5 linked regions of the Sus scrofa genome follow. The protein of the gene in region 2 purifies or fractionates together with the protein of the main gene of each other region. This does not show direct contact. Links are inferred from orthologs where the notes say so. Each region holds a gene or a part of one and is shown on either strand. Other genes may lie near its edges.

What was found.
Region 1: the proteins of FOXJ1 (region 2) and RFX3 purify together in Homo sapiens (affinity purification with mass spectrometry; 3 studies listed by BioGRID and IntAct, counting the BioPlex papers as one, with this or other methods). This does not show direct contact. The link is inferred for Sus scrofa from reciprocal best matches to the Homo sapiens genes FOXJ1 and RFX3.
Region 3: the proteins of FOXJ1 (region 2) and TBC1D32 purify together in Homo sapiens (affinity purification with mass spectrometry; 3 studies listed by BioGRID and IntAct, counting the BioPlex papers as one, with this or other methods). This does not show direct contact. The link is inferred for Sus scrofa from reciprocal best matches to the Homo sapiens genes FOXJ1 and TBC1D32.
Region 4: the proteins of FOXJ1 (region 2) and CDK20 purify together in Homo sapiens (affinity purification with mass spectrometry; 3 studies listed by BioGRID and IntAct, counting the BioPlex papers as one, with this or other methods). This does not show direct contact. The link is inferred for Sus scrofa from reciprocal best matches to the Homo sapiens genes FOXJ1 and CDK20.
Region 5: the proteins of FOXJ1 (region 2) and FBXO11 purify together in Homo sapiens (affinity purification with mass spectrometry; 3 studies listed by BioGRID and IntAct, counting the BioPlex papers as one, with this or other methods). This does not show direct contact. The link is inferred for Sus scrofa from reciprocal best matches to the Homo sapiens genes FOXJ1 and FBXO11.

What each region holds. Positions count from the first base shown.
Region 1 is NC_010443.5:218,566,632-218,572,513, forward strand, and holds part of RFX3 (transcription factor RFX3), read left to right. Parts: intron 1-2,436; coding exon 2,437-2,618; intron 2,619-5,882. UniProt on the Homo sapiens protein: Transcription factor required for ciliogenesis and islet cell differentiation during endocrine pancreas development. Essential for the differentiation of nodal monocilia and left-right asymmetry specification during embryogenesis.
Region 2 is NC_010454.4:5,304,893-5,311,340, reverse strand, and holds the start of FOXJ1 (forkhead box protein J1), read right to left. Parts: upstream 3,972-6,448; 5' UTR 3,830-3,971; intron 3,287-3,829; 5' UTR 3,125-3,286; coding exon 2,627-3,124; intron 1,017-2,626; coding exon 249-1,016; 3' UTR 1-248. UniProt on the Homo sapiens protein: Transcription factor specifically required for the formation of motile cilia. Acts by activating transcription of genes that mediate assembly of motile cilia, such as CFAP157.
Region 3 is NC_010443.5:41,055,348-41,061,744, reverse strand, and holds the start of TBC1D32 (protein broad-minded), read right to left. Parts: upstream 3,954-6,397; 5' UTR 3,803-3,953; intron 3,641-3,802; 5' UTR 3,638-3,640; coding exon 3,483-3,637; intron 1-3,482.
Region 4 is NC_010456.5:19,705-26,310, forward strand, and holds the start of CDK20 (cyclin-dependent kinase 20), read right to left. Parts: upstream 4,399-6,606; 5' UTR 4,070-4,398; coding exon of another isoform or gene 4,027-4,069; coding exon 3,995-4,026; intron 3,682-3,994; exon of another isoform or gene 3,641-3,681; coding exon 3,535-3,640; coding exon of another isoform or gene 3,527-3,534; intron 628-3,526; coding exon 439-627; intron 219-438; coding exon 97-218; intron 1-96. UniProt on the Homo sapiens protein: Required for high-level Shh responses in the developing neural tube.
Region 5 is NC_010445.4:92,764,741-92,770,622, reverse strand, and holds part of FBXO11 (F-box only protein 11), read right to left. Parts: intron 4,252-5,882; coding exon 4,168-4,251; intron 4,089-4,167; coding exon 3,956-4,088; intron 2,959-3,955; coding exon 2,852-2,958; intron 2,768-2,851; coding exon 2,656-2,767; intron 2,577-2,655; coding exon 2,470-2,576; intron 2,390-2,469; coding exon 2,252-2,389; intron 1-2,251. UniProt on the Homo sapiens protein: Substrate recognition component of a SCF (SKP1-CUL1-F-box protein) E3 ubiquitin-protein ligase complex which mediates the ubiquitination and subsequent proteasomal degradation of target proteins, such as DTL/CDT2, BCL6, SNAI1 and PRDM1/BLIMP1.

The sequences.
Region 1 (5,882 bases), on a different chromosome or scaffold from region 2:
TGATTTGTCACGTTTTATGTGCTGTCTCTGTCAGTTGTATTCATAATCAACAAAGCCTTTAAATTTAAAAAGGAACACTAAAGAGACACACTAACCCAAGCGTTGGAGGCAGGATACTAGTTTGAGTCTTGATAGCTGATTTCCCAATCAGTTTACAGCCTCTCTTTACACTAAATGAATATTTATGCATCAGCTTATTCTGTGTGTCCTGTAGAATACTCAGAGATCATGTATAAATGCCTTTGGAAAACTTGTTTACTCTCAGTAAGATTACAGGTGATTCATATCAAAAAAAAACCTCTTTTTGATCTGTAATTTTTTGACCGTTATAAAAATGAATGTTTATTTTGTGTGATCTTTAAGAAATTGTATAGGGGAAGGTTGTATATGTTACAGAGGCAATAGGTATATTTAAAACTGTTATTCATGTGCATATGTGTTCATGGAGAACTTCAAGGCTTACTGATCAGAACATGAATTTATTTTTATTTTTAAAAGTATTTTGCTCAGTCTTGTAGGTTTGGTGGTCACATTTTATAAGCAAACATCAGTATGGGTTTAATGACACATGTTCCACTGTATAAATATCATGTAGGAGTATTTGAAATTGAAATGGTTCTAGAAAATTCAGGGAGCTATATCTAGTCACTTATGATGGAGCATGATAATGTGAGAAAAAGGAATGTGTATGTGTGACTGGGTCACCTTGCTGTCAGTAGAAAATTGACAGAACACTGTAAACCAACTATAATGGAAAAAAATAAAAATCATTAAATAAAAATTAAAAAACAGTAAAAAAAGAAAATTCAGTCATCATGGTTAAAGGAAATGATTACGAGGATATTTTTAATGGATTTTCCTATTTAGAGTCTGAAAGCATAGGTTCTGAGTTTGATCACAAATTTTTAAATATGTAAGCAGAATGGAAAAATGCTTTCATTTCCTCTAGTGTCCATGTGTCATTTTTGGTATGTGAGTGTAAATTCCTAGAGGGCCAGGGTGAGTTACATTCATTATTACGTCTGTTGGTACCCAGCATAATGCCTGGCTGATACTTTATGCTCAATAAAGGAATTCTTTGGCTTCTATAACTTATTTTTAACTCAAATTACATATGGAATATCAGCTTCTCATCATACCTCTATCTGGCATGGGGATTTGGTTGAGACAGGTAATGTGACATATATGTGGCTTTTGTAGGAATAATAACTGGTATGCATGTAATCAGGAAAATGTGTTAGAAACCAGATCAAGCACTGAGAAAGTATATGTCTGCCCTTAAGAAAGTCATTTAAACCTATTTCCATTCTCCTTTTTTAAATAGTGAGCAGATTGATAATTTGATTTTACTAATATTGAAACTCAGTAATGTATACCTAGATTAGAACTTCTAAAAATTTCTTGTACATTCTATACCTTAAAGATTATTTTAAAAAAATACACACAGAAGGAGTACCCATTGTGGCACAGTGGGTTAAGAATCAAACTGCAGCAGCTCGGGTCACTGCATAGGTGCAAGTTTGAACTCTGGTCCAGCACAGTGGGTTAAAAGATCCAACATTATCAAAGCTGTGGCCTGCATAGATCACAGCTGCGGCTTGTATTTAATCCCTTGCCTGGGAATTTCTACATTCTGCCATGTGGCCATTAAAAAAAAAAAAAAATCAGGATAACATAAAACTCTAAAATGTGAACTATAGACTGAGAAAACGTTGCTTTACCAACTACGACTGTAGTGTGCCTTCCAAATTTATGAAAAAACATAGCTTGGAGGTAGAAAAACTCAAATGATTGTAATAAATGATTCTTTTTCATTACACATAGTTTTTTTTAAATCAGCGCCTAGCAAATTTCTTTCTTTCTAGGGAAGAAAAGATTAAAACTTTTCCTTACTTCTTTCAGATTTTGTCCCAGTAGATAATACCACTATTGTATTATCTTGTGTAAGTAAATTAGAATTCTATAAAAATGACTAGAACCTTAATATAAGGACTTATAACAAGATAGCCTGCTATTCATGTTGTAGCAAACCAACACTGAAGACCTATTATGTGCCATGCTGCCAGGCTTAGTAACATGTTTTTTTCTGTAGCAATTATAAATTACATTTATAACCAGTTAATGGGATTATATGAATTCCTTGAAGAGGTATTTGTCTCCAAAATAGCAATCAGTACAAGGAAAATTAGCATGTCTCCATATGTGCTTGAATGTTTGAAGGAATGACATGGTCTGAGGTCAATAGATGATGTTCAGCTACTTAGGCTTCTGGGTTTTCAAAGTCAGTTTACACGAGCCTCTGAATTACAACAGTTTACCTATTACAAGGCTTGAGGAAGATCTTCTAAGTATTTCTGTGTATTGTAGTTGCAGTGTCTTATAGACATTTTGGTGAATTATACGGTTTCTCTGTTTACCCTGTCTTATTTATATTAGCTCCAGTGGCTGTTGGACAATTACGAGACAGCAGAAGGAGTGAGCCTTCCCAGAAGCACTCTATACAACCACTACCTACGACACTGTCAGGAACACAAACTGGACCCAGTCAATGCTGCTTCTTTTGGAAAACTAATAAGGTCAATTTTTATGGGGCTACGAACCAGGAGATTGGGAACTAGGTTAGTACTAAAAAAAAATAAGATCATAAACTAATCTCTCTTTTTTAAACTATAGCAGTTCAGTGTATTGTTTGTGTAAAAGTACTTGATTATAGACTATACACATACACACACATATAAAATAAATAGTCATAAAATCCCCCAGGGAAAGAAGAGGTCATTATTCACTGAAAACTACCCATCCAGAGTGATGCAGTATCCTCAACATCAACAGAACAAAAACTGATTCTCAAATCACATAGAAATAAACAGACCAAACTATGTTTGTTTGTTTTTTTTGTTTGTTTTGTTTTGTTTTTTGTCTTTTTAGGGCCACACCTGAAGCATGTGTAGGTTCCCACGCTAGGGGGTCAAATCGGAGCTGTAGCCTGGCCTTCGCCAGAGCCACAGCAACGCAGGATCTGAGCCGAGTCTGCAACCTACACCACAGCTCACAGCAACGCCAGATCCTTAACCTACTGCAAGGCCAGGGATCGAACCCTCAACTTCGTTGTTCCTAGTCAGATTCGTTAACCACTGAGCCATGGCGGGAACTCCCAACAGACCAAATTATTAATGGAAGACTTATATGTGATGCTTTAAAAATTAGTATCTATTACTGTCTTCCTTTTGGAAAATAACCATACTAAAGATGATGAGTAAAGTGACATAGTAAATGGAAAGGTACATAACTCTTGACTTGTAAAATTACGTTGAAATGTTTTTATAAATAACTATTCTATATGAATAGAGTAAGAAATTAAAGCTGAGTTTTTCATTTCACTTCTGGAGACCAATTAAAAGTCATTTGGTGGACTTCCAAATTTTGAATGTTTGAAGCCCTCAATTAAAGATATATGTTCCTATTTAGCCTCTTATTAGCCTTTTTTTAAACTCTCAATTGTGAAGCCATACATGTATGGGAATAAAAATATAGTATAGTTCTGTTGCAGGGAAACCAATAATGTGAGGAAGACTCTTAGTTTTTTTGTTTCCTTTGTTTGGAAAAGACATGGGTGTTTTAACCAGTCGAAATGTGATGAAAATAGTACTGAGAACTATAGAGCTTTATTTTTGCCTTTTTATGATTTTTGCAAATTATCATAACAAATATTTTAAGTAGCTGAGAACAATATATATGTTTTTTATTTCCTAAATCTTATAAAATCCATACTTAAAAGTATAAAAATAAAGATGCTTTGCTGTATGTAACAGATATATATCTTTAATGAGCTATAAGTCACAGCTTCAGAGTATTCTAGTAAAGGGTTTTTAATATTCTTAATAAAATAAACAGAGCCTCAGCAACTGACTTCATTATAAATTTACACTAAAAAAGGGACTGTGTCAGTTTTATGAGAATTACAAGGTCTGTATGTATTCAGTGTGAATTATTCCTTTCTGTTGCATTTTAAGTGATTGTACAGCTTTCAGATTGCTGGAGGTTCAGTTCTCTCATAAATATATTTTCTTCTATCTATACTTCAAAGATAGTATATTTTAAACAGGAGAATATGATGTTTATTCAGAGCAAAGGAACCATCTTCCATCCCCTTGAACCCCTGCTCCCCCCACCCCACCATGAAAATCATTATTTGGGGACCTAACCTACTATCTCCTAGTTGATGGCTCATTAGTTGTGCATACCCTGCCAGTATTTTGAATCCCTGGGCTTTATTCAACATTCTAATAGCTGTATTGTTGTGCCTCTTTTGTTACTGAAAGGGATTTCAATGGATCCTATTTTGAGGCTCCATTCAAACCTTGAAACACATCTTTAAAATAGAAAGGGACAAAATTGGGGTTGTTTGGGTTTGTGAATGAGTAGAATCCATACTCTCTGCTCCATAAGTACATATTGCAATATTGCAGCTTTTTACTTTCTGATGTTCTTTTCTTCCCCCTCTCACTGTGTAACAATTGTGTCTTCTCTTTCTTTTAAAATTATATGTCGTGTTTGTAATTAGAAATGGAAAGCAAAGTCTAGAGGGATAAGGAGAAAAGAAATCCTTTGGGGAAAGTTGAAACAAATGCTGTGCTATGAAGATAGCAGAACTCTAATGTAGAAAAACTGACGATGGTAGGGGTGAAGCGCTAGAGATTTTTTCTACCATGCAAACTGTTTTGGCATTCACTTTCTACTCCTAATCCAGGAAACGGAAGGAGAATCAGTCTAAATCCTGTACAAATTGGACATATTTTTTCTAAGCAAACTGTATGAAGAATTGTTATTTAGCCATCAATGAAATTATTGAGTGAATTCATTCAAACCAGAACCAGACCTTTCTCAAGTTTCTGGAGCTAAGTACAAGTTAAGTCAAGTCACCATGTTTCTAAACGAAGACAAACTAAAGTTACCTTCTACTCAACCATCTTGAATATACTTATTCCAAAAGGTGCCTTTTTTTAAAATCCCATCTTCAAATTAAGTTTAAACAAAGAAGACCGTGGAAATGGTTATCTCCTTCAACCATCTTCAGTGAAATAGAAATAACCACCTCTCCACCAGCCCACCCAAAATGCAGATTTGTAGAAAAGTGAAGAAAAAACAGAAACTTCACAGATTTGGGGATCTCACAAGAGAGATGGCATTTTGCTTTGCAGCTTTGTCATTTCCTGCTCCCTCCTGTTCTCCAGTTTGAACGGGAGGACCCTGCTAATTGAGTTTGGGGTATTTTTTGGTTTTTGCTCTATTCTACAGTAGATTTTGAAGACAAGATCCAATATCTAGAAGTGAAAGGCATTAAGTTTTTATACTGGCTTATTTTGCTGAAATAGGTGTTTAGGTGTCCTACATTTTTTTAAACTAGCAATATCATTTATATGTAAGATTTTAATGTCTCTTCAAATATATAGGGTTCATCTGCGTTCTTCAATCTTGGAAGTAAAATTCTGTTTTATTTTTATATAAAATATTGAATCCACACTTCACTTGCTTTTCTTTTTGTAAATGAAAGAAAAAAATTGGAAAGAACGCTGATGTCTTGCTATATATAGACTTGTGAAAAACTATTTTCTCATTGCAAAAATTTACATATTTAAAATGTTATTTTTGTAAGAATTTGCAAATTTCATTCAGAGTAAAACTTTGTCATTTCTAATAGCAAATATGGTCTTTCTCATGAACATGAGGAAATTGTGACATTTTTTAAAATCCAGGTGGAAATTTGCCATTTTCACAGAGAAATTTCCCCATGTCTGTTGTGACACATCTTATTCAGCCTGCAAAACTGATACGAATCCATAAAAACAAAGACTAATAAAATATGTTTTGAAATCAATAGA
Region 2 (6,448 bases):
ACACTGTATGTACGGGAGGCTGGGGAGGGGAGGCGGCAATTCTGGTCCTGGACCCCGGTTCTCAGCCGTCTGCGCTGGAATCTGAGGCCGGCCTGGGCTGGGGGCCGTGTGGCCTCGTGGGGTCAGCCTCAGAAGATCCGGCCCAGCCCCTGCCTGGGCGGTCGGTAGGGTGTCTGTGGGCCAGCTTTGGGGGGCAGTCGGGGGCCCTGACTCGGGCACTGTCCGGAGGTGGGGGCGGGCCTGCCTGCTTACAAGAAGGCACCCACGCTGGCCCACTCATGCAGGTCGGCGGCCAGGGTGGCATCCCCGGCCTCAAAGAGGGGCTCCGGGGGCAGGCAGCCACTGCCGCTCTCGTCCCAGGGGTGCTGCAGGAAGGACGTGGCCAGGAAGGTCTCGTCGAAGTCCAGGCTGTCGGCAGCCTGCTCTGCCGGAGGCCCCCAGGGAGCCGGGCAGTCGATGTGGCGGCCGTGGACGGTGAGGTCCACGTCGCCGTGCGAGGCGGGGCTCATCGGCGGGCTCAGCTCCAGGGCCTCCAGGGTGCCCAGCTCCCCGCCCAGAGCACCAGCGTCGAAGATGGCCTCCCAGTCGAAGTTGCCTTTGAGGGGTTCCAGCTCGCCCTGCTCCTCCTGGGTCAGCAGCAGGGTGCTGGAAGGCCGCGGGACCTTGGCCACCCGCTTGGGCAGCGTCTGTTTGCGCTTATGCCCCAGCCTGCCCTCGCCCGCACCCCAGCCGGCCTCCCCGGTGGCCTCCTCGAACTCCCGCAGCAGCTGCTGGGCCTCGGTGTTCACGGTCAGCGGCCCGGCCCACTGCGCGGCGCGAGGCTCCTGCGCGGCCTGGCGGGCAAAGGCCGGGTGGATGTGGACTGGCGGTAGCCGCCGCTTCTTGAAGGCCCCGCTCAGCAGGCGCTCGGCGTACTGGGGGTCGATGCGCCAGAAGCCCCCCTTGCCCGGCTCATCCTTCTCCCGCGGCACCTTGATGAAGCACTTGTTCAGAGACAGGTTGTGGCGGATGGAATTCTGCACAGGGAGCGAGGAGAGAATGAGGGCAGCAGGGTGAGTGCGCAGGGACAGCGATGCGGGCCCTGGTGTTACTGCCAGGCCCCCACCAGCTTCTCGCTGATGGGAGAGGGGGGACAGAGGCGCTGCTCGGACCAGGAGGCTCTGGGACACCAGCCACGGGGGCTTTTGTTCCCTGTTGCCAGGGTATCCGCCTGCTCAGTCATCCGAGCCCCGAGCCGCAGGGTGGCTCTCCGTGCCACCCTGTCCTGCCTTCCCCTCTCTTTCCCTGCCGCTCGAGGCCTCTGGCCAAAGGCCTCGGCTCCCCCAGGGCCTGGACGGCCATCTCCCTCTGCCTGGGCCTGGCTGGCCTTCTCTGTGAGTGGGTGTGTGTGGGGGGGATCTGATGACTTTCCTTGTTTGTAGAGCCGGCTGCTGGCCTGGGCCCTCACCCCCCCCCACGTCCTCCTCCTCCCACCCCCAGCTAGGAGAGGCCTCCGTTGATTATTACCCAGCCAAGAGCATAGCACTCATTCCTGGGGCCTCTCAGGCTTGGGGGAGGGAAGGGGGGGGTGTCTCTACTTTCTCACCAAGGTTACAAATGGTACTGCCCCAGGGTCAGGGCCCAAGCGAACATGAAATCGTTTGGAACCATGATGCTGTCGCCGATGCTTCTTCAGGGTCCTGGTCCCCCCCGCCCCGACTGGGCCCCGATCCTGATGATCAAAGAGGCTCAGGGCAACGTGTGCCCAGCCTCAAATCACCATCCTGCCTTGCTCACGCCTGGGGGCACAGTCCAAACCATGCTGGGGCACAGGGGTCTGGGGCCTGGTCAGCGGGGCCGGCAGGTGGGTGGCGGCCCCTGGCAAGGCTGGGATGTTTACATGGCGGCCTGGGCCCCTTGGCTGCTCTGTGCCAGGTTCCGGAGACTTGGAACATGAAGCCAGTGCGGGAGGCAGAGCCCCTGTGGAAAGCACCTGGCTCAGGTAATTGTCCCCCCAGGGAGTTTGATGAGAGGAGGGGGAGGTGTGGAGGCAGGAAACCAGGGAGGGTTTAGGTGGGAGACTGGGACAGCGGCTTTAGGAAAGCCCCATCGCCCTTCCACTGGGACGCGGCTGGCCTTCACACCCCACGGCACACCCCTCTCCCCTCCTGTCCCCTCCAGCCAACTGAAACCAGGCAGGATGCAGCGCCTGGCAGGCATGATGCTCCGACTTCCGCTCCCAGTCGGCCTCTGACAAACTGGCCTTGGGCAGGGTAGTGTCTAGGAATTCTAGGACGTGGGACAAAAATGTGCCCCTTAGTCCCTCAGCCTCCCCTGTCCACCCACAGTTCATCCCTGGTCTTTGGGCTGGGCCTGCTGGTTGAGTGACAAGTTCTTCCACGTGAACCTCAAGGGCAGGCACCCCTAAAGCCCTCGGAACACCCTCCCTCCTCCTTCTCTGAAGTCAAAGAGGGGGCAGTTCCAAGCACTGGGCTCCCTGGAGGTCTTTCCTCGACGGCCTTTCTCCCTCCGGGCCCTGGCTGCACCCCGCCTACTTGGCCTGCGGATCTGGGATGTGAGTTCAGCCCTTGCAAGCGCGAGCACGAGCACGGGGGGGGGGGGGGGGGGGAGGGAGGGCCTCCCCTACCTGCCAGGTGGGATCAGCGTGGCGGAAGTAGCAGAAGTTGTCCGTGATCCACTTGTAGATGGCCGACAGGGTGATCTTGGTGGCCTTGCTGGCCTGCATGGCCATGCAGATGAGCGTGGCATAGGAGTAGGGCGGCTTCACATGCGGGTTGGTGGCGTAGTCCACGTCGTCGGGAGGCGGGGCCTGCAGCCCCGGGGGCGCGCTCCGGGACGTGCACGACGACGTGGGCTTGCCTGGCGTGTGTGGCTGCCCCAGGCAGGCGGGGTCGGCTGCCAGGGGAGACCCCGGCGCGGCCGAGCCTGGCACCTGGTGGTAGCCGTGGGGGTCGGTGCCCCCAGAGGGCAGGGCGGGGGCCTTGGCGTTGAGAATGGAGAATTCCTGCAGCCACTGCAGGCTGGTCAGGCTGTCATCCAGGGCATCGGGCTCCTCTAGGCCGCCCTCCGGCCCGGCTTCCTCCGCAGCCCCTGCTCCCGAGAGGCGTAGCCAGCTCTCCGCCATATCTGCGGGGACTCTCTGAGGGGGCGGTCAACATCCACGAGCTGAGCCGAGGGTGGCGCTCTCCGGCCCGCTGACTCCCGCGGCTCCAGTTACACAGGCTCCCGGAAGCGCGCTTCCATCCCACGACCCCGGGGGTCGCCTCCTCCGAGTCGAATGTGGTGTCTGCGGGGACCAAAACGGGAACTGAGCCCTCTTCCCCCACCCCGGAGGGGAGAGTGCGTGCGAGGCGGGAGGCGCCTCCAAAATCGATCCCGCAGCTGGTCTGGGAAACAGAAGCAGTGCCCAGGGGCCCGACCTCCACAGGGTCCACCTGTCTCTTTCCCTCTTTGATGTTTTAGAGGAGTCTTCATTAGCCTAACGAGGGAAGAGTGTAGGGGCATCCAAGGCTATTCCCTAATCCCCGAGAGCGCGAAATTAAACCCCCCTCCCTCCACAACAAGTGGAAATAGGGCGAGAGAGCCCAGGAGGGCGGTATGAGACCAGGCGGGGGGCGGGGGAGGTCGTCTGATCTTTGAAAAGGAATATTAGGCTCAAGGGGAAGGAAGAGACAAGGACCAAGAGTTACAGAGGGGTAGGAAGTGAGTGTCCCCTAAACTCCACTGCTGTCATTACCCAGACCCAACACTTCCGTCGGGGACGGATGGGAGAGCGGGCCTGTACCAACGCCCTCTCTTCCCGCGGCCCGCAGCCCTCCCCGTCCCTTACCTGGCTCAGAGCGCAGCTCGGGCCAAAGGAAGGTTCTGGAAGAAGGTCCTGCCACTCCCCGCGGCTCTCTGCCCCCAGCTCGAGGACCCTGCCAGCAACCCTCGTCGTCCCCCCCACGCCCGACGGCGCCTCTCTGAACGCCAGCGGCCCCGGGACCGGTATTAAGTAGTCGCTCAGAAGGCTTCTACTGCTGCCATGGCGACGCTCCGCCCCCATAAACAGCTTCCGCTGCTGCCATTGGTCAGCGTGTCTCCAAGGAAACCGCGGGCTCCTGCCACTCTCTCTGGCGGTAATTCTCTTCGAACTCCCTCCTTCTGCCGCCCTCTCCCGCGCCACCCAGCCCCCTACCCGCCACCGCGTCCCGGCTCCGTGCGTTCCCGCCCGAGGACCCGCGCAGGGCTCGGAGAGGCGCGTGGCTCGGCGCTTCCGCCGAGGCCCCGGGCCCTTCGGCGTGCGGTTCGTCGCGGGCCCCGCGCTCCCGCCCCACCCCACCCCACCCCTTACGGTCTGAGCAGCTCCGAGGTGTCGACGACGGCTCCTGGGAAGCAGCCCCGGGCTCTGGGGCAAAAGCTGGGAGCCGGCTCAGGCTCGGGAACCATGTGCTTGGGGTTTTCCTCTCCTCTGGGCTGCGAGTGGCACTTCCTCGCGTTTCTGCGGCCCGTCACTCACTCCTGACACTGAGCGTCTTCTTGGTGCCCGCAGGCAGGTCTGACTCTCCGATGCCACCTGCTGCTCAGGTCTGCAGAACCCCAGCACCGGTCGCAGTCACCCCAGTGCGGGTAGGGTAATCCAGTGTTTCCCGGTAAGCCCCCACTCTCTGCCCTGTTCTCAGCAAGATGCCTGGAAGCTGACGTTCCAGAGGCTTCTTCGGAAATGCTCCCCCTCCTTTCCAGATAGCCCAGGAATCAGAGGTGGCGGGTGAAACTCAGAAAAGTCATGAACTTGCCTAACTCTCCTACCGAGATCCTTTGCCCCGTTAATTTTACCCGCCTTTATGTGACAGGGACTAACAGAGGACTGTGGCCCTCCCCCCCCTTCCCCTTCCCCAAGCCTCCCTCCAGTCACCAGCTTTCCTGCTCTTCAATTATTGACAAGCTGCAGTGTTGGAAGTTCTCGGGTTTAAAGACGGGGTGGGGGCGGGGTGGGGGCTCCTTATCCGCCCTCTGAGCAGGAGCTGTGCCCAGGGAATGGTACCTCAACTCCCACCCCAAAACGTCTTTCCCTCCTCCTTGCCGCCCCCCCACCCCAGCTTCTCCTGAGTGAAAACATTAAAAAGTGCTGGAGGAAGTTGGACAGAAACTTTCACAAGCCAGCTGCACAGTTAACAGCTCTCCTTCCCTTGTAAACAGCTTTATTCGTTGTTAAGAATCATGCAGCAATCCATACATATTGCATCCTTGACGTCCCCACTCTAGCGCGCCCAGGAGCCTACTCCAGGGAGTGTGGGGTACGGAGACGGCACACCAGTCCACACACACTTACACACACTAGGTGTGCAGGTCCTAGAGCAGGGAGCAACCAGCATGCTGAGGTGGGCAGGACACGAACTCCTCCCCAGGTGAGCTGGCCTAAAGTGTGTGGGTCTGTGCCCAGGAGATGCCCCAGTGAGGGCATGACCTCCGGTGGGAGGGGCTGGCAGGGGAAGGCAAAGGGGCTCTGCGAGGAGGCCGGGATCGCCACCCCACATGGAGGTGAGCTCAGACCTGAGCGTGGCAGGCAGGAGCCCCAGGCCTCCCATAGTCTGTGCCCTCATATGAGAAGCCGGGCCCTGTCGCGTTCTCTCTGGGTTACCTGCCTACACATGACTGTCCCCAGATGGTGGGTGGGGCAGATGCCCTGTTCCCTGATCAGGCTGAGGACCAGCCCCTTTGGATGGGACCTTTCTGCTTGCCAGGGAGCTAAACGGGAAGAGGTGGGGATGGGGAGGGGAGAGCAGGGGCCGTCTGATGAGGAGCCAGAGGCCGCTTCTGACCCCGGTGTGTCTTGGTTATGGAACCGAGGCCTCGGGGAATCTGCGCCTCTTCGTGGGAGCAGACAGACGCTCCAGAAGAGGTGAAGGCAGTGACTTCGGGCTCCTGGCCCCGTGGCTGCTGCTGACCTGCATCTGCTTCATCTCAGGTGACACCACACGGCGAGCCCTGCCTCCTCTCCCGGCAGGCCTGTGTGCCACCACCCAGGCTAAGGGAGCTCGCTGTCCCCTGGTGCTTCTGGGGCTCAGCCTTCAAGGAAATCAGGAAGTAGGGTTATTGCTCAAATCTTAAATACGGAAGGGGCTGGAACAATCTGGGAAGGAAAGGACATCGAGGAGTTCCCTGGTGGCCTAGTGGGTCAAGGATCACGGCATTGTCACTGCTGTGGCATGGGTTTGATCCTTGGGCCGGGAACGTCTGCGTGCTATGGGTGCAGCAAAAAAAAAAAAAAAAAAAAAAAAGACCTAAAGACACAAAGTGCGGTCTGAAACAGCAGAGTCCGCTGCAGGATTTCAGAAAGGGTGGACACGGGAACTCAGGACAGAAGCTTGGATTTAGCTTGGCTCATGTAGTGTCTGTCAGGACAACAGGCCTCGCCACCCCTCAGGGCAGGACGTGAACCGCAGCCACAAGGCAGCGAAAGGCTCAC
Region 3 (6,397 bases), on a different chromosome or scaffold from region 2:
TAAGGAGTAGACAGGTAAAGTAATGCAAGCCATGTGTGAGAGAGAAATGGCTTCAGGTCTTCGCTGCTTTTTTTTTTTTTTTTTTTTTTTTTTTGTCTTTTTAGGGCCTCACCGGCTGCATATGGAGGTTCCCAGGCTAGGGGTCTAATCGGAGCTGTAGCCGCTGGCCTATGCCACAGCAATGTCAGATCCAAGCCGTCTGCAATCTGCACCACAGCTCATGGCAACACTGGATCCTTAACCCACTGAATGAGGCCAGGGATCGAACCCACAAGCTCACGGTTCCTAGTCGGATTTGTTTCCGCTGTGCCACGATGGAAACTCCCTTCACTGCTACTTTCAAAGATAAGAGACAGTTTGGATCTTTTAAAGGAACTGTATAGTTTAAGGTAAAAATACAAAAGCAGCTATGGAAGCAGAAATAGTCTAGGGCAGCTGCACTATAGGGCAAAAACCCAGATAGGACTGTACTATGTACACAATGGTTTCTCCCCAAATGACTACATTTTCCTCCCACTTTATTACACTACCTGAAACTCCATCATTCGTGGACTCAATTGTCTTAACAACCATCTTCTTACAAAAATTCCAGTAACTTAGAGATATCAGTTTCCCTTATAAATCGGTTTAGTAAGATTCCTTTTCTTGCTAATATACCATGACAACATCAGGTGAACTGAATGAACCAATGTTCTGATTGAGGAGATGGGATGACAGATAATTCTGACATATGAAACATTTTGAGAAGCAACATATACCTAAGTGACTCAAGAACATTTGCTCTTGAAGGAGAGTTAGGTCAGTGAATAGGGAGAAAAATGAAAATATGAGCATATGCATCAAATGACAATTAGGATCTCATCAAACTCTGAGATTCTAAATACTATGAAAATACCAAGCACAAGCATTTCCTCCTCTTTCCTCTTTCATAAGGAGTTTCTTCCTCCTAAGGCAGAGATCTAAGGCTAGTGCAGCTAATATATGAATTTTACTATCTATACTTCTAAGACTACCAACTATTCAAACATTTTTAGGATTATAAATCTTATAAAACTATAAACTTGTTGTAATTTCAATGGGCCTGGATTTTCTTTTAGGTCGGCCACAAGTAAACCTCCAATGGTAAACATTAATATGCAAGTTAATCAGCAGGTATTTAATCTAATGAACTGTTGAAGAGTAAATTATATCATTACAATAGTCATTAGAGCACTGAGAGGAACCAGAATGACCCAACTTTAACTTGAAGAGAATTTTTTTTTTTTTTCGGTTTTTAGGGCCACACCTAAAGTTCCCAGCGCTTCCAAATCAGAGCTGCAGCTGCCAGCCTATGCCACAGCAACTCGGAATCTGAGCCTTGTCTGTGACCTACACCATGGCTCATGGCAAAGTCGGATCCATAACCCACTGAGCAAGGCCAGGGATCAAACCCACATCCTCATGGACACTAGTCAGATTCATAACCCACTGAGCCACAACAGGAACTCCCTGAAAAGCACTTTTTTTTTTTTAAATTGACAAAGATAAAGCAATACAGGCAAATGCGTATCCTTAAATGTTTACATTAAAAACTAAGAAAAGTTGCAAATTAATGACCTAAACATTCATCACAAAAGTTTAAAAAGTTTCTCAAGAAGAGAAGAAAGAAGAGTATAATTTTTTTAAAAAACCATAAAAATACATAATAGGAAAATCATAATAGAGAGGAAAATCAAAGCTAACAGCAAGTTCTTTGAAAAGACTAGTAAAATTGACAAACCTCTAGCAGAACAGATCAAAAACAAAAGAGGGGGCAAAACTGAAAAACAAGAATGAAGAAAGGGACAGCTATAGATACTAGAAATATTTTTAAAGTAATAGGATATTAATTTTAAAAAAACTTTATTTAAATAAATTTGAAAGACTATATTAAACAAATTCCCAGAATACGATCCTAGCAAAAAAACCAATAATTCACAAATATTTTAAATAAGTATTTGCATGTGAAATGAAATCCCAAATCTAATGCTTGACAGGGATTTGTGTGAGTAAATTGGTATCAAGTCAGTATACAAAATACTAATGACCAAACCTGAATTTGAGAAAGTTGCAGTTTTTCTATGTCCCACTGTTAAGAAATAAACCAAAAGCTAACCAATAAAAGCTGGTCTCTGGTACCTCCAAAATAAAAAAATGTAATTGTGTAATATCAGCTATTAGTAATGGACTTAATGAAGAAATAAACAAGAAAATCTGGAAAACACAAAAGAAACCATATGTATAACCAGGGACGCTAATTAAATTAGAAACTCTATATTAACAAGAATTCCTTCCACACTTTTTAAAACTCCCTGGAGAATCTGGTGAAAATTGGAAATCCTCCCCCCATAAAACTCCAAGTAAACACAAACTTTTGCAAAGACTATTAAAGGGCTCACGGACCCCCTGGTGCCCACATATGAAACCTGTAGGAGTTACAGATAAGTACTTCAGGGCACCCAAATGCCAGTAAAAATAACACACACAAAAAAGTTAAACGTCATCTTCTGAGAGTTCAAAATAAAAGGCAAACCATCAATTAAAAATATCCCTGCTACTGGAGTTTCCCTCTTGGAGCAGCAGAAATGAATCCAACTAGGAACCTTGAGGTTGGTTTCCTGTTCCATCCACGGCCTCACTGAGGGTAGACCCGCAGCAACAGCTCAGATTCAATCCCTAGCCTAGGAACTTCCATATGCCGCGAATGCGGCTCTGAAAAGACAAAAAAATCACTGCTGCTAATAATAAACTGAGGCACCTGGAGGCAAACTTTTCAATGGAGAGGCTTAATATAAATTATATATATGAATCAAATAAAAAAACAAAGGTATCTAAAGAAACATATGCTTTAAGATTTACCTCAAATGGTGCCTCTCATTAAACTTCCTATTTCTCCTGCTCCCAAACCCAGACCACTCTAAACTTCTATGGGCATTTATATTTCTGACATGTATCACAGACATTTGAGTAATACACCTTAATTAATCCCTTTGTAGAAATTTAGGCTAGTCTATGGGGAGTTAACAATCCCACTCCAGTATTCCTGCAGGGCTCAGAATGGATAACTGTTGCAGTCACTGAAATGTAAAATCAGCAAAAGAACAGGGATATTGGGAACTCAGGGTTTTTAGGTGTAGTGACAGAAAACCCTTGAGATAATAGAATTAATCTTAAATGAACGGGAATACTTTACAATTAATGTTCCTTTACAATTAACGGTGTCTGGGAGAAAAAAAAATAATTAGGATATGTTGGTTGCGTCAGTAAAAACAAAGAAGAGGCCGAAGCTTTGGAAAACAGAAAAAGAATAAAAAATAAATTCGGCATTTGGGGAAACAAACGAAAACATGAACCTTCAACTTGGGCGCTCTTTTGTCAGTAATCACATGAACCTTCATTAACTGCATTTGAACCTTTTCTGAATCAGCTGTTTCGTTTGCTTAAGACATCAAAACCAATTTTACTTGTGAAAATTTTCATCAGTTTCCTCCAGATGTAAGAGGATCTCCTCGGCGCACTCCAGGGACGGAGCTCCTGTGATTTTCTCCTTCACGCTGTGGAACAGCTGCCTCAGCATCGCCTGCAGCATCGCTTGGTCCTCACCGGAGAAATGAGCCATCCTCTGTCAATATCAACCACAGCTATGAGGGTCCGAGGACCTCTGTGCCCTGCGCATGCGCGCCCCCACCCAGCCCCCTGCTTGCGCTCAGCGCCGTTCCCCGGGAGACCGCGGGCTTGGGGGTGGGCCTGCGCTGCTGGAGCATCGTTGGGGAAAACAAGTTACCTTGCTTTGACGAAGCGAAAGTCCGCGAGGTCCCGCCTTTGGAAGTCGTTGTTGCCGGCCTGCTCTACCAACGGAGTTCAAGCTGCCCCTACTAACTGCAAAAAATATCCCAAAGGCTTTACGGGTGGACCTGACGGCGGACGTCAGCGCTACGGGTGACGTCAGTACGTTGACGTGACTTCCTAGGTGGGAGGGAGTGCCTCTCGACTACATTACGGGAGCTCCTAGAGAAAGTTTTAGGTACGCCTGCTGAAATGGTTTTAGGTAGGAGGGGAAAAGGGAGTTCAGAGAGAAAAGGGTTACGTCTGTTAACTCCTACCCTTTACCAAGCACCTTGCTAGGGAGTGTAAAGAGGACGACGCTCTCACAACCTAATAGACAAGAAGTCAGCGATTACAACACAGAGCAAGTAAATGTTATGCTAGAGAAATGCGCCAGGTAGGTGCTGTGGAAACCCGTAATTACCTTTTAACCCAATAGAAGACTCAAGGAAAGAGGTAAAGAGAAAACAAGCTAGACATGCAAAGGTTAGAAAGCTGAGAGAGTGAAGCATATTCCGTACTGGAATTTGTAAGAAGAAAAAAGAAGAGTCTAGTGAAGTAAATAGACCACATTGGAAAAGATCATATTTGGCACTTTTAAGTGATTAGCGATTTATCTCGAAAGTTGTAGGACATAATGGGATAGCAGAGTTACGCCATTAGATATCATATATAAAGATCACTCTGCCGGAAGTTGCAGTGGCGAATCATGGTCCCTTGTCCAGTTTCCATTCTAGCTAAATCCCCAGACCACGGTCATGTTCAACAACCTACAAGATCCTGGTGTCTATAGAACAGTCAATCCCAAAACAAATCAGTGGTTGAATGTCAATAAGTTCTCATGTATCCCGCTTTATATTTTACACTGCTGGTCCAATAACACCTGGATTCACTTTACATGTTAACCAGGATCAAAGCCTCCTTTGAAGTCTAAGCTATTACTTCCAGGAGCAAAAGTATGATACAGCTATGCCAGCTCTAGCAGCGTATTTCTTGATGAAATGTGTGCTTAATTTTGATTGTCTCACTACCACATTAAGAAAAAAACATACTTACAGAGTAGGCATACTTGTACTTTTTGTGGTCAAAGCTATAAAACCCAATATGTGTATGTGTATACATGTGACAACCACCAGCATGTGACAGCATGTGGCATGTGACCAGCTCATGGCAACTACATTTTCAGACAATATAACACATTAGTTATATTGGCAACTCAGACACCAGGATTAATATAGCTATTAGCAAAGCGATTTTTTTGAAAAGGTAAACTATTAATGGTAAAATTCAGAATGAAATAATATATACTCTTTATTTACATTGTTTTTGCATTCCTGTAAAATTCATTGTATTAAAACTGTGCCAAATATTATTTTTATATAAATGGAATTAGTTCCTAGACTCAGATACTTATCAACAGATTTTTCATCTGCATGAATGTCAAGGAGGACCATTGAAAGTCATGTAGGAACCAGAGCAACCTCTTTTATGTGGGAGAGTATCCTGTGTATTTCAAGAAGCTCAGCATCCCTAACTCACATTGCACATACCAGTAAATGCCATCAAATCGTGGTGATGACAAAATGATGTATTTCTAAAATGCTTTTAGGGGAGCAGTGGAGAGGATATTTGAACTGCACAAATTGAAAACCACTATTCTAAAGGATATCTCTTAGGAAGAAGGAAAAAACTTAAAAGAAAACCTGATAGTCAAGAAGGAAAGTTAGGCAAAAAGGGGGAGAAGGAATAATGTGTTTAAGTAAATCTCAATAAACACTATATGTATATAGAAGTAATTATATTCTAATTTATGAAGGTAAAAATGCATAGTACTTAAATTCTGTAAACAACCCTGGGTAAGCAGGAATTGTAATGATAAGTTGAAGTATTCTGTAATCCTTGAATTTTTCTAAAGGGTGTTTAAGATATTAAACTTTGTTGGGTAGGCATGGTGGAATTTCAGATGTAACCATTAAAAGATTAGAAATTAGAGAACTTAAATTCTAAAAATGGAGAGAAAAAGATATACGGAGAGAAAAACAAAAAGCCCCAGTTTGAAGAAAAGTCAAGTAAGGAGTTCCTGTCATGGCTCAGTGGTTAACAAATCTGACTAGGAACCATGAGGTTGGGAGTTCAATCCCTGGCATCGTTCAGTGGGTTAAGGATCAGGTGTTGCCGTGAGCTGTGGTGTAAGTTGCAGACTCGACTCGGATCTGGTTTTGCTGTGGCTCTGGCATAGGCCAGCAGCTGTAGCTCCAATTAGACCCCTAGCCTGGGAACCTCCATATGCCATGGGTGTGGCCCTGAAAAGACAAAAGACATAAAAAAAAATAGAATGGATAAGCAATGAGGTCTTACTGTACAGCACAGAGAACTATATCCATTCTCTTGGGATAGAACATCATGGAAGGTAGTATGAGAAAAAGAATGTATATATGTGTATGAATAGATCACTATGCTATACAGCAAAAATTGACACAGCACTGTAAATCAACTATACTTCGATTTAAAAAAAAAAACTAGTAGGGCATAAAAGGTGCCTGGGGCTCATGGA
Region 4 (6,606 bases), on a different chromosome or scaffold from region 2:
ACTCTTTGGACAGAAGGTCCAGAAGCATCTCTTCCCCAGTGGGAGGGGTGGGGCCTGTCCATTGCCCGGTCCTGCCTGGGAACTGGTCCTCCCTACCTGGTGGCCACCTGGTGCGTGTAGAGGCGGCTGCCATCTGAGGAAAAGACCCGGGCCAGGCCAAAGTCCGCTATCTTGAGCTGGCCCGAGGCGCTGATTAGCAAGTTGGCTGGTTTCAGGTCCTGAGGGCACAAAAAGAGGCATTGGTTCCTTGTGAGCCCCCATGGGACCTCGGGATAAGAGAGCTGGGCAGGCTGAGCACCCGGGTCAGCCCAGGACCGCACCTCCTTCAGGGCTATACCCCTGGCCACTCACACATGGGCCTGCCCCCTTTGTCCCCTCTCCAAGCATGCCCTACATCATGGTCCCCCAGGTCCCACCCCAGCCCATGCTGGAACTGACCCGATGCACAATGTTGTTGGCATGGCAGAAGGCAACGCCTTTGAGCAGCATCTGCAAATAGCTCTTGACCTGTGCCTGGGCCAGCGGCCTCTGGGCGTGGCGCAGCACCTCAGCCAGATCTGACAGCATGTACTCAAAGGCCAGCACAAAGCCTGCACCGTGCGGGAACACAGCCTTCAATTGCACAACCTGTGGGGGAGGGGGGAGAAGCATCCCATCAGCCCCCAGACTCACGTGGCTCACACCCTCTGTGGAACTCTCGGCTCTTGCCCCAACAGAAGACCAGGCAGAGAAGGTGACAGGAGATCTGAGCTTAGAATCAGGGAGCTGGGTGCTCTCATGTGCTCCCCTCTCCCAACAGAAGGCAAGAACCTACTCTAATGCTCCAGTAAAGGCGCAGGAGAAAGGAGGTCTAAGAAAATCCACTTAGGGCAGTGTCTGGTCCCCCACCCAGCCTACGAACTGGAAAATCACCTGGAAACACACACACACACACACACACACACACACACACAGGTCTCCTCCTCTTTCTTCTACAGCCATTAACTCCCAGAACCAAGAGAAGGCACTGGTGGTCACATCTCCCAGCGCTGGGACAGCAGGAGATATGTCACATATACTTCCTGAGGGCCCACAGGTCACAAGGGCCAGGCTGCACAGCAGTGAGCAGGAGCAAGAGCGAGGGGGTCCTGATGGGCTTTAAGGAGTTCGGGGGACAAATGACTGACAGGCATAAGAACAAATCTATTGGGTATCTTGATGAAGGTTCTGATGAAGACAGAAGAGATGGGCTGGGCTCACTTATGCAGGGATCTGGGAAGGAGTTCTGGGCAGGGGGACAGTGAGCACAAGGCTCCAAGGCGAGAACAGGAAGGAGGCTGCTCTGTACTCCTGGAGCCTAGACGTACTTGTCAGGCAAGAGAAACTTAAGTGTTGAATGAAGAGAAAAAGAGACTGGAAGAGTTTCTGCCCTGGCGCAAGGGAAAGGAATCCGACTAGGAACCATAGGTTGTGGGTTCGATCCCTGGCCTTGCTCAGTGGGTTAAGGATCCGGCACTGCCATGAGCTGTGATGTAGGTCGCAGATGATGCTCGGATCCCGCGTTGCTGTGGCTCTGGCATAGGCCAGCAGCTGTAGCTCCAATTCGACCCCTAGCCTGGGAACCTCCATATGCCCCAGGTGTGGCCCTAGAAAAGGCAAAAAGACAAAAAATAAAAATAAAAAAAATAAAAAATTAAAAATTAAAAAAATTAAAAAAAAAAAAGAGAGAGACTAGAGGTGGGTGACAGCGGACAGTGACAATTCTTTTGGAGTGAAAAGAAGCCACTGGGGCTTTTCAAGCCAGAGAGTGGATAACTTCAACTACACGTTTTGACTGTAGAGTGGGGTCAGGGAGGGGGTTTGGGGGGCAAAGTCATTCTGATGAGAGGTGAAGATGGCCTGGGCAAGGCTAGAATGATATCTGGAGTGTTTTAAAGATAGAACTTCAGGCCTGCTGATGCACAGGACACGGGACCCCATGGGCCCTCCACCTCTCCCACGCACAAGCTGCCGCCAAGTCCTTTTTCCTTCCTCAAAAAATGAGAAGGGGGGAGTTCCCATCATGGCTCAGTGGTTAACAAATCTGACTAGGAACCATGAGGTTGCAGGTTTGATCCCTGGCCTCACTCAGTGGGTTAAGGATCCGGTGTTGCCATGAGCTGTGGTGTAGCTCACAGAAGAGGCTTGGATCTGGCATTGCTGTGGCTGTGGTGTAGGCTGGCAGCTGTAGCTCTGATTAGACCCTTAGCCTGGGAACCTCCATATGCTGCGGGTGCAGCCCTAAAAAGCAGAAGGGAAAAAAAAAAAAAAAGAGAGAGAGAGAAGGGCCATATTACTGCTTTTCTGATTTTGAGAGTAGGAGACAATCACTTTACAGATTGAGACAAACACATAACATTCAGATAATACACAAACTCATAAGCAAAAAAAATCGCAAAAGAAAAATCCTATCACCTACTGTCAACCTCACAAGTATATTCCACCAGACTTAGCAACAGACATGGCACATACAGACATATATGCACAGGCGTATACAAAATACTTTCGCACAAAACCAGGATGACACATGCAGTTGTATAATATGGTTTTGGCACTGATATAGCACGAACATCTCCAGAGGATAAGAAGCAAGCCAGAGTATCACCCACTGTTGGGTGGGTGGACCTGCCCCTGGCATTCCCCAGGAAATTACACACATTCTCTACTCCGGACACAGTCAAGAGAGAAGTGCACAGAGAGAATGAGGCTGGGCGGGTGCGGTCTCTCCTCCTGTACCCACAGCCCCTCCAGGGCCCATCACAGCACAAACGAGGCCAGGAGGGTCTTGCAGCCTCTGTCCTGTCTCGAGAGCCAGGTCAGGGTCAGGGTCAGTGTTCGTCACCAGTGCCCAGCAGAGGGCAGAGCCTATGGGGGCCCCAAAGTTAAAATGTACTGATTCCCCAATCAGAGGAGAAAACTCAGAAGGACAATGTGGAGTTCCCATCATGGCTCAGTGGAAACGAATCTGACTAGGATCCATGAGGTTGCAGGTTAGATCCCTGGCCTCATTCAGTGGGTTAAGGATCCGGTGTTGCTGTGAGCTGTGGTGTAGATCACAGACAGGGCTCAGATCCCACGTTGCTGTTGCTGTGGCTGTGGTAGGCCGGCAGCTACAGCTCTGATTAGACCCCTAGCCTGAGAACCGCCATATGCTGTGGGCGTGGCCCGAAAAAGACCAAAAAAAAAGAATGACAATGTACATAAAGCTGTTAATCCAGCCTGGAGAACACAATGGGAGCTCAGTAGGTGGCAATTATCACTATCATTAAAAATCATTAAAAGTTTTGAGCAAAAAGGGATGTTAGTGAATAAATAAGTACACAAAGAAATAAGTGGGTGAACAGAGAGGGAGTGAGTGAGGAATGAAATAACTGGGAGGGAATAAGGGTGAACAAGTGGACAGGAAAGGGAGTAGTGAGGGGTGAGGAAGCAGATGACAGCAAGTCCCCAGGGTGGAAGTGAGTGGATAAGGGCAGGAACCCCAGCACAGGGCACCAGCCCTACTCACATACTGACTGTCCTCAATCTCCTGCAGGGCCTTGATCTCCCGCAGGGCCTGGTTGGGGATGCCATCCTCCAGCCGCCGTAGGGCCACCTTCTTGAGGGCCACGATCTCTCCAGTCTGTTTGGGACAGGACGCAGACACTGCTACCCCATCCCGGGCTGGGAAAAGGAATGGGATGCGAGGCTTGAGGCCCTCGTGAGAGTGGAACGCACCCCCTACCCCATTCTGGAGGGATATCAGGGCCAGGAGTCGCAGCGCTGGGAAAACAGCTCAGAGAAAACCACACCAGCTCACAGGGAACACTCGCCATCTAAAAGCACCGCTGACAGCTGGCCGCACCCCACCCCGCCAAGGGGGCAAGAGATAGGCGGACGCCACAAAAAGCTGAGGGGAGGCAGGAGCAATGGCCCATGCGTGGGTGGGAACATAGGGTAGATCTCAAAGGAACCGAAGGAAGGACTGGGTGCTCACCTCCACGTGCTTGGCCTTGAAGACGATGCCATGAGCGCCCTCCCCTATGCGGCCCAAGATGCAGTACTGCTCCATGGCCCTCTGCCTGGCACTATTACGCTCCAAAGTAACAACCTCTCCCGTGCACAAGCAACCGGACCCTTCCGCGGAAGCCTGCCCCGCCCTCTGCGCCCAGAGGCGGCTGCCTAGCAACGGCGCGGGCACGCGCTCCGGGACCGGGAGGCCAGCGCAGCCAGGGAAGGCGGCCCTGGGCTCGTCTGCGCCTTCCCCTAGGCGCTCGCCATCACGGCTCAGGGCGCTTCACTCAAGGGGAGTCAGTCACACGAGTGCAGACACGGCCAACCGCAGCAACGGTCACCGTCACCCCTTCTCAACCCTGCGCGGGCATCACATGACGAGTGACGCCAGAGCACGCACGGGGCGGGGCCCTGCAGCCCCGGGGCAAGGCTGGGCGCAGGTGGGGCGGGGCTGCGTAGGCGGGAGGGTGGAGCTGCTCAGCGGGCGGGGCGGGGAGCTGGCGCGGGGCTGAAGGTAACCGGGAGGGGCTGAAGGTGACGGGGGAGGGGCTGAAGGCGACGGGGGCGGGGCTGAAGGCGATGGGGTAGGGGGTGGGGGGGTGCCCGGCGGGGGGAGTGGGTGCCTGGCGGGGCCTGCCCCTCCCCCTCCCTGAGCAGGCTTAGAGGTGCCAGCCGCCACCTCTGAGAACATAGAGGTGTCATTTCCCACCTATGAGACACAGAGCCGATGGTGACTGAAGGGAGATGTCTCGGGTCTGTGTCCTGGCAGGAGGATCAACAGGCAATTTGTGGAGAAAGATTTTTAAAAATGCAAATTCTGACCCAGAAAGTCCATGTCTGAGGGCTTCTCCTGAGGAAACATTTGGAGGAATTTGCAGCTGAGTGATTTTTAGGAAGTATGTACCAAGGATGTTGACAAAATATACAAGTAGCTTTTAAACTTCTGAGAAAGTGCTCAGTCTCATACACAATAAGGTAAATGCAAAATAATCTACAATTTTCCACCTATCATTGGTTCAATATCTAACAATGCATTGGCCATGCTGTGGAAATATATATATAGGAGCGTTCATATATTGCTGATGGGAGTGTGATTTGGCAATGCTGATCAAATTATAAATGCATATCCCCTTAGACCAAGCAAGGTCACTTTGAGAAATTCCCCCACCTAACACATTGCACATGTATTAAATGACATAGCAGGAGTTCCTGTCGTGGCACAGTGGCTAACCAATCCGACTAGGAACCATGAGGTTGCAGGTTCGATCCCTGGCCTTGCTCAGTGGGTTGAGGATCCAGCATTGCCAGTGAGCTGTGGTGTAGGTCGCAGACGCGGCTTGGATCCCGAGTTGCTGTGACTCTGGTGTAGGCTGGTGGCTACCGTTCCGACTTGACCCCTAGCCTGGGAACCTCCATATGCTGTGGGAGTGACCCCAGAAAAGGACAAAAAAAAAAAATTGACATGGCAAAGTTATTCATTGAATCATAGTTTAAATAGCAAAAGATTGGAAGCACCATAGATGTCCATCCATAAGAGACTGTCTAAATTTTGATACACCTATCAAATAGAAAACCATACTACCTCAAAAAAGAACAGGCGTGCTTTTTTTTTTTTTTTTTGTAGGACTGCAGCCACGTCATGTGGAAGTTCCCTATGCCACAGTCACAGCAACACTGGACCCTTGACCCACTGAACCAGGCCAGGGATCAAACCTGAGTCCTCATGGGTACTAGTCGGGTTTGTTACTGCTGAGCAAGAACAGGAACTCCCCAAGGATGCTCTTTAATGTATAGTAATAGAAAGATGTCTAAGATATATTATTAAGTTAAAAAAGGTAAGATGAGGAGTTCTTTTGTGACACAGTGTGTTAGGATCAGGCGTTGTCACTGCAGTGGATTAGGTTGTTGCTGTGGCGTGGATTTGATCCCTGGCCAGGGAAGCTCCATATGCTGTACGCACAGCCAAAAAAAAAAAGGCAAGATGAAAAATAGAGCATAGAGTGCCACTAGCTGTGTAAAAAAAAAACAATATAAATAATACTTGTTTATGCATCATAATATGTCTGGAAAAAATACTCGAGATTTCATGATTGTGGTTACCTGGTGGAGGGGCTAGAAGGATTGGGGACAGAATAGGAGGCCAACTTTTCACTGGACCTCTTTGTAGTCTTTGAAATGTGAACTGTAAAATTTATTAATTCTTCTTTTTTTTTTTTTTTTAGGGCCTCACCTGCAGCATGTGGAAGTTCCCAGGCTAGGGGTCGAAATAAAGCTACAGCTGCTGGCCACAGCCACAGCAACAAGGGACTCAAGCCGCATCTGTGACCTATACCGAAGCTCATGGCAATGCTGGATCCTGGACCCACTGAGCAAGGCCAGGGATCAAACCTGCATCCTCATGGATACTAATCAGATTTGTTTCTGCTGCTCCACAATGAGAAATTTCCAAAAGAATTAACAGCAGGGTCTTGAAGAGATATTTGCACATCCACATTCATAATCGCACTGTTCACAACAGGCAGAATAAGGAAGCAACGCAAGTGTCCACAGACAGATAAATGACTAAAAAAATGCAGTATATCCATGCAGTGGAAT
Region 5 (5,882 bases), on a different chromosome or scaffold from region 2:
CTCAGTGTGTTAAGGATCTGCATCAAGCTGCAGTGTAGGTCACAGACATAGCTCAGATTCCCAGGTGGCTGTGGCTGTAGTGCAGACCAGCAGCTGCAGCTCCAATTTGACCTGGGAACTTTCATATATCGCGGGTGCATCCCTAAAAAAAAAAAAAAAAAAACTACAGCCAATACGAGACTCTAAGGGAAGAGAGCTTCTTAAGACTCTTAGGTTTGGAGAGCCTCCACACTTTTGCCCAGATACCCTAATTCCCGAAACTCCCCTACCCACTCCTTTGTAAAAAGAGCTAAAATTCACAAGATAATGTCAGGTTTTAAATTCTAGCTGGGGAAGCAAGTGATCATCACCACTGTGCTTTCTCATCCAAAGGCCCCAACTATATATACCTTGAGTTTTAGGTGAACTGTTTTTCCCAGGTTACAGCTACCCCAAGAATATAATGAATCAGGTGGTCTGAAGCTATTTAAGTTTTAAGTCTAATCAGAATTTGATAAAAGGGTACTTACTCTTCATGGTCTAGTTCAGTTTTGAAAAAGAGTTCTACATTAAGGTTTTAGGCACAAACAATAAAAATGAAAAATGTCCTTAGCAAACTAACAATGGGATTTTTTTGGGGGGAGGAGGGGTACACCCAGTGCATATGGAAGTTTCTAGGCCAGAGGTCAAACCCATGCCATATTTTCGATCTGTGCCACAGCTACAGTAATGCTGGATGCCCAACCTGCTGCGCCATAAGGGAATGTCCACAAATCTACAATCTGTATATGATATCTGACACTGCTAAATTGCCGGTTAATGATCATATAATAGCAACAAAACATCACCATGCCCTGTCACCATCTCCTATCCTATCTAATTCCTTAACAAAAAGTGTTGTCAATGCTGTACTAGCACTTAAAAAATACTTCAACAAAAATCAGACGTTAAATGAAAAGAATACCTAACTAGGCACCCAAGAACATTATTTTGAAATAGCGGCCTAAGAGAGCTCAAAAGGTCTTATCTCTAAAAACTGTGGAAAATGACCTGGTAGTATCTAAAACACAGTATGATCCATAAAGATGCCTAATTACCTGCTACATAACAGTTTTAGAATCAATATATTATCATCATTGTATTTCTTACTAAAGTTCTACCAGTTGGAGTTCCCATCATGGCACAGCGGAAACGAATCTGACTAGGAACCATGAGGTTGCAGGTTTGATCCCTGGCCTTGCTCAGTGGGTTAAAGATCTGGCGTTGCTGTGAGCTGTGGTGTAGGTTGCAAATGCGGCTTGGATCTGTGTTGCTGTGGCCCTGGCATAGGCTGGCAGCAACAGCTCCGAATGGACCCCTAAGTCTGGGAACCTCCATATGCCGCAGGTGCGGCCCTAAAAAGACAAGACAAAAAAAAAAAAAAGTTCTACCAGTTTAAAAAAAAAAATTAAGAGGAAGAAAATGGAAATCAAATGGTGAACTACTGCTTCTCAAAGGGTAGTCTACAGACAACCTACATTAAACTCACCTATGGTGTTTATTAAAAATGCATATCCTGGAGTTGCTGCTGTGGCACAGGGGGTTAAGGATCTGGTATTGTCTCTGCTGAGGCACGGGTTTGATCCCCGGCCCAGAAACTTCCATATGCCATGGGTGGGGCCCAAAAAAAAAAAAAAAAAAAAACGGGCATATCCTGAGCCCCATCCTTAAAAATTCTGATTTACTATATTCTGGGTGGTTTTTATGCATATTTACATTTGAGAGCTACTGGATTAGAACTTACTCCCCTCAGAGATCACATTAATTCCCTAAGGATTCCACTTTCTCTACATGTATGTAATGTTAGATTCATGAATTCAGAGAATCGATATTACATACTGATTTAAAAATATTATACTGAAATCTTTTTGTTTTCTTTTTTTGTTTCTTTTGGCTTTTTAGGGCTGAACTGGTGGCATATGGAGGTTCCCTAGGGGTCGAATCGGAGCTATAACCATTGTCCTACGCCGTGGACATAGCAACGCAGGATCCGAGCCCAGCCGCAGCTCACAGCAACACTGGGTCCTTAACCCATTGAGACCAGGGCTCGAACCCGAATCCTCACAGATACTAGTCGAATTTGTTAACCACTGAGCCACGATGGAAACTTCTGAAATCTTTTTAAAACCTATATTCTTCAATTCATACAGTTTGGTGATGAAAAAAATGCTGAAGCCTATTTGAAATTTAACTGACATGAGTCACTTTTTCTATTAAGAAGAAATGCTCTTACCATGCCATGATCAAATGTGAAGACACCAACATCACGTCCATGATGAATATGATTTCTTCTAATGATCGGGTTTCCATGATTTTTAACCCAAATCCCAGCTAAAGCATTATTGGAAATTTCATTATCCTCATATATTCCCTACAACAATCAACCACAAACAAACATTAGTAGTGCTAAAAAAAAAATTAGCAAAGAAAAAAGACAAAACTGAAAAATACCTGTGCATGATCTGTTATATAAAGTCCAACATTTTCACAGTCACTGATGTTACAGTGCTTGATAGTGGGACACGCTCCTTGACCACTAACACATACTGCAGAGCCAACTGTAAGACAAAGAATTAACTAGAAACCCACCAGGTGACAGTGACTCATTTTATAATAAAACGTAAGAGGAACACTAACCTGTACAAGTACTTCGGATGATACAGTGATCAATAATAGGGCTACAATTTACTGTAATCTCTAAGCAGTGGTGTGCATTGTGGTGTTGAGCAGATTTGTCATCAGGGTTAAACTGAAAAGTAGAAATTTTGTGTGAATTAAACAAGCAATGCCTTAATGATTTACATACATATACTTAAAAATTTTAATTTCTTACCCTTATTGTCATATATCCAACATAAGCATCCTCAGAACCTTCCATAAATACGAAGGTTGAATCTCTAGTGTTTTCAATTATAACTTTGTCTGCTACTTTTCCAGGTGCTGTGAAGAAAATATTTAAAAGCACATTACCTTTATGAGACAGATGAAATGGAAATTTAAAAATACTTCTTTAAAGAGCAGAAGTACTCTGCCATGAAACTAATAATTCAGTAGAAGTCTTTTTACTGTTTTTAAATTGAGGACTTTTTTTTGCAAAGAAAACTTTTTTTCCTTTTTCAGCCACACCTGTGACGTACAGAAGTTCCTGAGCCAAAGATCAAACCCATACCATGGCAGTGACTGGAGCCACAGCCATAAAAACATTGACTGGATCCTCCACCTGCAAGCTACCAGGGAACTCCTAATGAGGGAACTTTTAAAGAATCTTAGTATTGAGTAGATAGGATTAATATTCATTTTACCAGATAGATAACTATATTTCATTGGCCTTCATACAGGCAGTCATACTTAACATAGGTGTTTTTGAGTACCATTACATTCAAATGCATGAGTAATAATACTTCTAATAAAATGGTCTGTGTACTACTGTATCCTTAAAAAAATGCCAAAGATAGCATAAATCTTCAAATAACTTATCAGTGTTCAACAAACACTACATTTATACTCAGAAACCTGAACATAAAAACAGCTTTGAATCAATATACCAAGTATTTTAAAAGTACATTTGTTTCATTAAAAACACAGTAATAAAAATATCAGTATCTGTATTAATAAAAGACAAAATTATCCTCCCCAAAAAGACAAAATTAACAAATAAAATATTTTTCTCTCCTTAACGAACAACTAAAGCAGTTGGACAAAGGGAATAACAACATCAAGGAATATATACATCTAAAAAAAGAAATAGGTACAATTACAATTTCTGAACTTTGAAGTTTTCATTTCCATCATATAAAATAAATATGATATTTCCTATTTTTTTGCTACGATTAAGGTATTATCAACGTTCATCTGGATATTAAGTCACCTAAGCATTTAAAAAACCCATCATGTAAGTAAAATGTTAAAATCTTAATGACAATGCATTTCAAAATACCTGCACCAATCATGGTGATTGGAGATTCAATATATATCCATTCATCAGTATATATTCCAGAATGAACAAAGATAAGTCCATCAAAATGAGCTTCTTGTACGCCACCAAGGGCATCTTCAATTGTATCATAATACTTAAAAAAAAAAAAAAGTGTCAGTATAGAACTGTAAGGTCACCATTTTAAATCTCTGAAAAATACAAATCAAACATACCAACATATTTTCTCTTCCTTTATATCTTGCAGGGTTACTGTAGAAATGTTCAGCAAATCCTGGCTTTACATGTGCACCTTTATACTAAAACATCAAACACAAACAAAAACACTGACTACTAATATAAACACTATAGTCCAAGTTATTTTAGTACTGTATGGTCTTTTTTATTAATTATCAAAAACAATTATTGGTTCAATTAATTTTCTGTTGCATACTGCAATGTAAAATATGAAATAGCTTATGACTTGTAATATCCCATAGCAGGACAAAATTTGTCAACCTCAGCACTAGTGATATTTTGGGACAGATAATTCTTTGTTGGGGCTCTCTCGTGCACTGTAGTTAACAGAGGCATCCCTGGACTCTGTTAACTAGATAGCAGTAGCAGTCTCTTCTCCAGCTGTGACAACCCAAAGTGTCTCTGCACACTGCCAAACATCCCCGGTGGAGCAAAAGCACCCCCAAGTTGAGAACCATTCATAAAGGACCATATGAAAATTAAGTTGTGAAACTTTAAATAACTACTCAACACTAGTAATTTAAATATAAGTTCAAATTGATCCATGGAAAGTAATAACTACTCTTAGGCAACTGATCTTATTGCTACTGTTTAAATTATTAATAAATACTCAGTAGTGAAATGAATTGTTGAATCTTCTGTTTGTTGATAAACGTCCATTGGCTTGAAACCTATTCTTTTTGTTTTTTGTTTTTGGCTGTGCCTGCAACACGCACTAGTTCCTGGGCCAAGGATCAAACTCGAGCCACAGCAGCAATTATGACAGATTCCTAACTTGTTGAGCCACCAGGGAACTCTAAAACCTATTCTTGAGTTTATATTTTAAAGACAGAATTTTTTTTTTTAGGGCCGCACCCGCGACACATGGAGGTTCCCAGGCTAGGGGTCTAACTGGAGCTGTAGCCGCCAGCCTACGCTGGAGCCATAGCAACACCAGATCTGAGCCATGTCTGTTCCTAGTTGGATTCATTTCTGCTGCGCCAGGACGGGAATTCCTAAAAAAGGAATTTTTATTTAAAAATAACTAATACAGGGAGTTCCTACTGTAGCACAGTGGAAACAAACCTGACCAGCACCCATGAGAATGCAGTTTGATCCCTGGCCTCACTCAGTGGGTTGGGAATTCAGTGTTGCCGTGAGCTGTGGTGTAGGGTACAGATGTGGCTTAGATCACGTGCTGCTGTGGCTGTGGCATAGGTGGGCACAGCTCCTATTCAAAACCTAGCCTGGGAACCTCCATATGCTGTGGGTGTGGCCCTAAAAAGACAAAAAATAAAAATAAAAAAGGAATTTTTAGGAGTTCCTGCCGCAGCTCAGTAGAAACAAATCCGACTAGGAACCATGAGGTTGCGGGTTCGATCCATGGCCTTGCTCAGTGGGTTAAGGATTGGGCAATGCTGTGAGCTGTGGTGTGAGTCGCAGACACGGCTTGGATCTGGCATTGCTGTGGCCATGGTGTAGGCCGGCAGCTGTAGCTCCAATTAGACCCCTAGCCTGGGAACCTCTATATGCCGTGGGTGCGGCCCTAAAAAGCAAAAAAGAAAAAAAGGAGTTTTTATTTAAAAATATTGAATATAGGGAGTTCCCGTTGCGGCACAATGGAAGCAAATCTTAACTAGTATCCATGAGGATGCAGGTTCGATCGCTGGTGTTACTCAGTGGGTCAGGGATCTGGTGTTGCTGTAAGCTGTGG